Linked DNA regions of Macaca fascicularis. The protein of the gene in region 2 binds, or shares a complex with, the protein of the main gene of each other region. Links are inferred from orthologs where the notes say so. Each region holds a gene or a part of one and is shown on either strand. Other genes may lie near its edges.

Evidence for each region.
Region 1: RNPS1 (region 2) and SAP18 share a complex: the UniProt entries of both Homo sapiens proteins name them as parts of the heterotrimeric ASAP (apoptosis- and splicing-associated protein) and PSAP complex. The link is inferred for Macaca fascicularis from reciprocal best matches to the Homo sapiens genes RNPS1 and SAP18.

What each region holds. Positions count from the first base shown.
Region 1 is NC_088391.1:793,860-797,797, forward strand, and holds the start of SAP18 (histone deacetylase complex subunit SAP18), read right to left. Parts: upstream 2,802-3,938; 5' UTR 2,790-2,801; coding exon 2,661-2,789; intron 2,456-2,660; coding exon 2,346-2,455; intron 1-2,345. UniProt on the Homo sapiens protein: Component of the SIN3-repressing complex. Enhances the ability of SIN3-HDAC1-mediated transcriptional repression. When tethered to the promoter, it can direct the formation of a repressive complex to core histone proteins.
Region 2 is NC_088394.1:3,040,694-3,045,003, reverse strand, and holds the start of RNPS1 (RNA-binding protein with serine-rich domain 1), read left to right. Parts: upstream 1-1,502; 5' UTR 1,503-1,560; coding exon of another isoform or gene 1,561-1,562; 5' UTR 1,563-2,754; exon of another isoform or gene 2,755-3,492; intron 3,493-4,310. UniProt on the Homo sapiens protein: Part of pre- and post-splicing multiprotein mRNP complexes. Auxiliary component of the splicing-dependent multiprotein exon junction complex (EJC) deposited at splice junction on mRNAs.

The sequences.
Region 1 (3,938 bases), on a different chromosome or scaffold from region 2:
AAATAGTGCAACTGCTGTGAAAAAGTTTGATGGTTCCTCAAAACTTAAACAAAATTAACATATGACCCAGTAATCCACTCCTAGGTACATACCCAAAATAACTGAAAGCAGGGACACAAACACATTTGTATGCCAATGTTCACAGCAGCATTATTCACAATGGCAAAAAAGATGAAACAATCCAAGTGTCCATCAATAGATGAGTACATGTGATGCACACATACAATGAAATATTATTCAGTCTTGACAAGGCTGAATGGATGCTACAACATCAACCCCGAAAACACCATGAAATAAGCCAGTCACAAAATGACAAACACTGTAACGAGTTCACTGAAATGAAATATCCAGAATAGACAAATTCATATATAGACAGATAATACATTAGAAGCTACCAGGGGATGGGGCGGGGGAGGAATGGGAAATTATTTTTTAATAGGCACGGTGTGTCCTTAAAAGGTTACCAGCACACTGGGCATGGTGGTGTGTGCCTGTAGTCCCAGCTGGTTGAGCCAAGGAGCTCAAATCCAGCTTGGAAAACAGTGCAAGACTCCATCTCTTTAAAAATTAAAACAAGGCAGGATGGCGTACAGGCTTTCTGTTGGAGGGAGGGATAAAAACTTGTAGAAATAGTGGTTGCACAACAATTTGAATGCTATTAATGCCAACAAATTATACACTTAAAAACAGTTAATGACCATGCACGCTGGCTCACGCCTGTAATCCTACACCACTTTGGGAGGCCGAGGCGGGCGGATCGCTTGAAGTCAGGAGTTCCAGACCAGCCTGGCCAACATGGTGAAACCCTGTCTCTACTAGAAATACAAAAATTAGCCAGGTGTGGCGGTGGGCGCCTGTAATCCCAACTACTGGGGAGGCTGAGGCATGAGAATCCCTTGAACCCGGGAGGCAGAGGTTGCAGTGAGCCGAGATGGGCGCCACTGCACTCCAGCCTGGGCGACAGAGTGAGACTCAAGAAATAAGAAATGGTTAACATGGCAAATTTTGTTACATATGCACACACATATGTATTTTGAGACGGAATCTCGCTCTGTCGCCCAGGCTGGAGTACAGTGGCGCGACCTCAGCTCACTGCAACCTCCACTTCCCAAGTTCAAGTGATCCTCCTGCCTCAGTCTCCCAAGTAGCTGCGATTACAATTCTATGCCACCACACAAGGCTAATTTTTGCATTTTTAGTAGACACAGGGTTTCATTATGCCGACCAGACTGGTCTCAAACTCCTGACCTAAAGTGATCCGCCAGCCTCAGTTTCCCAAAGTGCTGGGATTGCAGGCATGAGCCACCGTGCATGGCTTGTTATATAACTTTTTATCGCAATAAAAAATTTATTTTAAGCCAGGCGCGGTAGCTCACACACCTGTAATCCCAGCACTTTGGGAGGCCGAGGCAGGCAGACAACCTGAGTTCAGGAGTTCGAGACCAGCCTGGTCAATATGGTGAAACCTCATCTCTACTAAAAATACAAAAATTAGCCAGGCGTGGTGGTGGGCACCTGTAATCCCACCTACTGGGGAGGCTGAGGCAGGAGAATGGCGTGAACACGGGAGGCGGAGCCTGCAGTGAGCGGAGATGGCGCCACTGCACTCCAGCCTGGGCGAGAGCAAGACTCCGTCTGAAAATATATATATATATACACACACACACATATATATATAGCATATACATATATTTTTCAGTTACACACCTTTTACTTATATTAAAAACCCATTATGGTGTCAATCCAAGGAGTTATGTGCAGCGCTAAAGACAAGCCGGCAGTAGTTTGTAGGGAGATACACCCAAGAGATGAACACTCAGGAACCATCTTCACTAAACACACACCAAAAGCTCTTCCATCAACCCTTAGATAATAACTCGGGTTTTGGTAGTTTATTTTTCACTTTTGGTGCTTTGGTACCTAAGGCTTAATATTACGTGGAAATGCTCTTTGAGAATAACAAACACCACTCGACAGCATCACTCTCCCTTACCATGCTGTCCTAGTGCAATTTATTTGACCATGAGTCCCTTTAGGGCGGATACTACAACTTAATCATCTACCTATCACTTTTGTACCTAGCAGCCATAACAGTGCTAAATCTTGGGTCTGTGCATTCTTAACCGCCCAAAAGTTGCAACATTAATCACAAAAGCGTTACAATAAAGGCAAATCTCCTTTCACCTAACAACAAAAACTTCTAACTTCCCGAAAGTTGAGCCTGAAGACCCCAAGTGGAGGAATGAAATTTAAATCAAGGAGAATAACTCTCTACACTGGCAAAGGCAATTAACTGTTGTTCCAGGTTCCCGGCCCGGGTCCGAGCCCGCCCCCGCCCTCCTCACCAAGTGTAGATCTGCAACTCGCTGGACGGTACATTTCCCCGGGAGAACTCGTCCATTCGGTGGTGGCGGCCGTTATTGGTGGTGAAGACCCGCAGCAACAGTGGGCATGTCTGAGGGCGAGAGAAAAACGGAACGGCAGAAGTTAAAGACACCAGCTGCGAGCCCGGACCTCACCTCTCTTCCCGAGGCGTTGCGGCCTCCGAGCCGTCCGGATACCAAAAACACCGTCTCCTCCCGCACACAGGCCGCGCCTCTGCACCCTGCCGGGCCCACCCCCAATCTCTTCCCGGACCCCAAAGCGGAGGGGACCTTCACCTTCTCGCGGTCGATTGGCTTCTCTGGCTCCTTCTTAATTTCCTCCTGGGTAACGCGCGACTCCACCGCCATCTTCCTCCTACGGCCCGCTAGACGCTCGCCCTGACCTCCGACCCCTGCAGCGAGCATGAGCACGAAGTCTCTCGCGAGGAGAAGCTCGACACTTTATAGTCGGGCAGTGGCTGGGCGGGGCGTATCCTGGCGCAGGCGCACTTCCGTTCGTGGCGTGCGAGCCGGGCGCGCCTGCGTGTTGCGACTTCGGGAAAAGGTGGGTGCTGGCCTCAGTGGGGAGGAGCGGTTTAGCCTCCGTCGCCTGGCAGTTGGTTGCCGGGGTGTTTTTTTTTTCCCTTAAATATTCACAGGCGAAATAAGCTTAAGGTGGCGTTTTCACTCGTAATGACGAAAACCTTATTGGACACAAAACGTTCCTTTATTAGCAAAATATAGATCTTTCTGATAAAAGAACAGGTCCGCCATACCCGCCCCTGAGGTAAGCCGGAAGAGGCGTCGCCAGCGTACGTGGTCATGGAGCGATCCTTCCAGCCACATACACGGCGGCTTAGAGACCGGAATGCGAGCAGGAAACCCGGAACTTGTAGGAAATAACGTTCTAGAATATCTTCAGGACCTATGGATGGGAATATATGATAGAAAAAACTAACGAGAAGCAATTGATTTGACTGGGTTAGGACAAAAATAATCTGACCTTCAAAACTCCGTGATGAACAAACTCCATGATGAACCCAAAATGCCAAGTATATGACTGAACTTAAAAGTGATATCATCTTACGACTGAAAAGTGGGAAAAAAAAATACATCATAAGAGAGAAAAAAGCCACAGAGTGGGAGAAATTTGTTACACATATGATTGACAAAGGCAATTATCCAGAATATATAGGATGTAAACAGACAACCCAATCGAAAAATGGATAAAATTACTGAACAGGTGCTTTGGAAATGACAAAATCCAGAGAGGCAACAAACATGTAAGGTGAGCAAGCGCATTACAAATCAGGGAAATGCATTAAAACCATGATTAGTTTCAATTGACTGGTTTTTAAGCCACACCCACTAGATTGGCAAAAATTAGGAACTCTGGCCAGGCGTGGTGGTGGCTCACGCCTGTAATCCCAGCGTTTTGGAAGGATGAGGCAGGCGGATCACCTGACCTCCTGACTCCCGACTTGAGGTCAGGAGTTTGAAACAAGCCTGGCCAACACGATGAGGCTCCGGCTCCACTAAAAATACAAATAAAAATAAAAATAAAAACGGCCGGGC
Region 2 (4,310 bases):
AGTCATGCTGGTTGTCTCCTCCCAAAGATCCGCTTGGATCTGCTTCCTTCTCCCTTCCTTGCTGCCAGGAAGCTGTTCAAAGTCGGAAGCTGAGCACACAGTCAATCCCTCCACAAATAATCAAAGGGCAACGACTACCTAACAGGCACAGCAGTGAACAAAACCCGGCCGGGGGCGGTGGTTCACGCCTGTAAAGTAATCCCAGCACTTTGGGAGGCCAAGGCGAACCTAGGAGCGAGCACTTTTGGAGCGAGCCTGAAAGCCTAGGAGCGGATCACGAGGTCAGAAGTTCGCGACCAGTCTGGCCAACATAGTGAAACCCAGTCTCTAATAAAAATACAAAAAATTAGCCGAGTGTAGTAGTGTGTGCCTGTAATCCCAGCTACTCGGGAGGCGGAGGCAGGAGAACCGCTTGAACCCGGGAGGCGGAGGTTGCAGTGAGCCGAGATCGCACCGCTGCACTTCAGCCTGGGCAACAGTGCGAGACTCTGTCAAAAAAAAAAAATTCCGCCGCGTCAGTGTGGGGCGTTGACGCGGAGCCTCCTGCCTGGGCCCCTACAGCGTCACCCCCTCCTCTGTGCCTGCCAGAGGCGCCACCTCTGGACTCTCCCAGAGTCGGACCCTGGTCGACAGTGTTCCCTGCTCGGACCCTGCACCGGCCGTTAGATGAAGCCTCGGCGCTGCGCCGTTCACACGCTCCGTGCTGCCTCCACTGAGAATTTGGCGCGGGCCTGCGAGCCTGTGCCCCGGCCTCCCTTCCCTGCTTCCAGCGAACCTCGGCGTCTGCTGTTCCCCCGCCGGGCGCGCCCTTCCACTCTAGTCTCAGCGGCAGTGTCACCTGCCCGGAGACGCCCCCCGTTGCACCCCATCTCCCATCCTCAAGCTCGTTGCTCTTCCTGCCCGCACAGCCCGCCTGCAGCGCCCACCCTGGAGGTCCGCCTGCGCGGAGGCCGCGTCCACGAGAGCACCCCAAACGCCACCAGTGGGTTTTGACCGCAGGAACGCAAGTCCTGCCCCAGCCCGTCTCTCCGAGCTACTTCCGCCCTGCAGGCCCCCACGCCCCGCCACGCAAGGCCGCAAAGGCTGCGCACCCCTCCTGTGCGACCACCCTGCCGCCCTCAGCACAGCCGGGCCTGGAGCCCCGCCTCCACCGCCGGCGACAGGGGCCAGAATCGGCCCGGGCGGGTCCAGGGAGCCCGCGCAAGGAAAGGGGCGGGGCACGGCCGCGATAACACCCTCCGCTCCGGACGACGAGCATCGGTTATCGCGCGGCCCTCCCAGGCTCAGCAGGCTACCCATGTGCTCGCTCCAGCAAGCGTGCAGCCAGTCCGGTCAGTCCCAGGGACTTTACCGGCGAGGAGACACCCTGAACGTCCCCAACGCGGCTACCACAAACTGCCTTGACTGTCTAACACTTCCCCGCCGGCGCCCATTGGGCCAGGCGTTTACGTCATCGCTACGCGCCGGACGGCGGCGTCTTCCCGCTCCTTGACTCTGACGTCAGAGCGGCGCCGGCCTCGGAGGCTGAGGAAAGCAGGAGGAGGTGGTGGCGGCGGGAAGATGTAAGTTGGGGCGGAATCCGACCGCATCCGTGTTTCGGGGGCTGCCCGTCAGGCCCGGCAGGACGCATCGTGAAGCCGGTCCACTTCTCAGCCCCGCAGTGCGGCGGTGGCCTGGCAGCGCGGTGCGGGCTCCGAGAAGAAAGAGTGTGGCCCGGGGCGGGCGGAGTGGGAGGTGTCGAGGCCGTGGCCCGGAAGTGATCGGGGCCGCCGCGGACGGAAGGGCGCCTCTGCTTCGTCCGCTCGGCGGTGGCCCAGCCAGGCCCGCGGGACTCGGAGCAGCGGTGAGCGCGGCCTCCGTTCTTGGGGCCCTCCCGCCGGGCCGGAGACCCAAGCCCCCAACGCCAGGCGCTGCCCTGGAAGCGCTTGCGGCCCGGCGCCTGGACGGGGAAGTTGTGAGTGAACGCGGACGGGGAGCGGCGAGGTCGGCGTGTCGGGCCGGTGCCGGCGGGCGCGGAGTTTCTTTGTGGGATGCGGTGGAAGGTCGGCCGATCCATCCTTCGGAGTCATTAATTCAAACGTGTACTCCGCGAACGTTTCCCGGACTCCCGTGTGCAATTGTCGGCGCTAGGCCGTGGGGATACGGCCCACTATGGACCGAACACGGTGTCCGAGCTCAGTTTGATGGGTTATCCCAGAGGGGTGGATACGGGAAGGTTAAGGTTGATGGAGGAGAAACGTGGAGTAGGCTTTTTGTCTTGATTTCTCATGAACTGTGCCTGAAATGTACTCTTAAATGGGGAAGGTGCTCTGAAGATTTATGCCGAAACGCCCTCTCCTCGAGATTTAACTAATTGTTCTCTCCTCTCTCTGGCTGTTGGACGCGCACCTTTCCGGAGGATGGGGGAGGTAACCGAGGTCCTGAGCCGGTACCTGAACTTGGGTGAACAGAGAACCTCAACTTTTGCTTTCTAGCACTCGACCGCACCCAGCGAGCCGTCCGCTTACTCAGTGGTTCTTAGTGTTTGGACTGCTTGAGAATAACTGGTGGTGTTTGATTCCACAAAGTACATTTGGGCAGATCTTTAAGTCTGGGGGGGTGGGGCTGAAATCTGCGGGTGTGACCTCCACTCTAGGTCTGTGCTGTCCAGTGAAGTAGCCATTGGCCACATGTGGCTACTAAGCATGTGAAATACAGCTCATCAAAACTGAAATGTTAAAACACATACCAGTTTTAGAAGACTATGAAAAAAAAGTAAACTTTTATTAGTAGATTTTTATGTTGATTATATGTTGGAAAGATAATATTTTGGATGTGTCAAGTGTTAAAAATTTCACCCATTTTTGTGATGTGGCTACTAAGGAATTTCAGGTGATGCTTGTGGCTCCTCACACTGTTTCTATTGGACATTTCTGCTGCAGGTGATCCTAAGGCAGATGAGTGCAGGAACCCTGCTGAGAGTTCAGAAATTACGTGTGACTTTGGAGACAAATGTCTGGGGGAGGGAGGAGCCTTTACAAATCTTGCTCCTAACATTATTGAGCTTTTCATTAATGCCCTGGGTAACTATAAAGTTGGAATTGTAATTGTCACCATATTGATAAGAAACTTGAGAAAGGTTAAGTGACTTGTCGAAAATTACACCGTAAAACCTCAAATCAAACCCAGGCCCTCTGGTTGCAGACTCTGAATTATACTCTGAATGATACTCACTGACTGTCCGAGGACACCAACAGTGTCGAGGCACTATCTGCTGGGTGTCTGCAGAACCTTACTATTCTAAAGCAAAACATGATACCCCCGGACAAGAGCAGCAGAGGTGGTGTTCGGCCCTCCTTGGCTCATTTGACTGTTTAAAGCCAGGTGCTTTTCTTTCTTGGGTCAGAACACGTTTTCAGCAGCATTTTGAAGCACCCCTGGCAGGTACTGCACAGGGAAACCAGGACCCCATTGGTGTGCTGTGTCCTCCTTACCAACTGGCTCTTGGAGAAGGTGAGACAGAAGTAGCTGAGACTCACATCCTGAGAGCTGCACTTAACAACTCCTGCAGCTTGTGCAGAACTTTACTGGAAATACTGAAGGCGTCCCTGGAAAATAGGGCCCATAACTAATTAGTTTGCTTTTGAGTAATGAGTAACCGCTATTTGAACACATTCTGCAGTCCAGGCATTTTGCTAAACTCTTACATGGCAGGCAGTCTCTCATGCAATTTCAGTGCCTACTTTTTTTTCATCTTATTTTTGAAAAATTTTTAAAGCACAGGAACGTCAAATTATACAATTAATACCCACATAAAGACTACTTAAGGGCCAGGTCTGGTGGCTCACGCCTGTAATCCCAGCACTTTGGGAGGCCAAGGTTGGCAGATGACAAGGTCAGGAGTTGGAGACCAGCCTGGTCAATATGGTGAAACCCTGTCTCTACTAAAAATACAAAAATTAGCCAGGCTTGATGGCAAGCACCTGTAGTCCCAGCTACTCAGGAGGCTGACGCAGAAGAAACGCTTGAACCCAGGAGGTGGAGGTTGCAGTGAGCCAAGATCGTGCCACTGCACTCCAGCCTGGGTGACAGAGCAAGTCTCCATCTCAAAAAAAAACAAAACAAAACTCAGAGGTTAAGAGTCTGTAAGTTATATTTCTGCTGTATTTGCTAGATGGTTTTTATCAATCTTAGTTTTTCTTTCAATCTTAGTTTTTCTCAATCTTAGTTTTTCTTTCAAAGTAAATTGCAGACTTGCATGTATTTTCCCCTACACTCAATATGCATATTATTAAAGTACAGTGCAATTACTGCTTTTTAAAATGATTCTT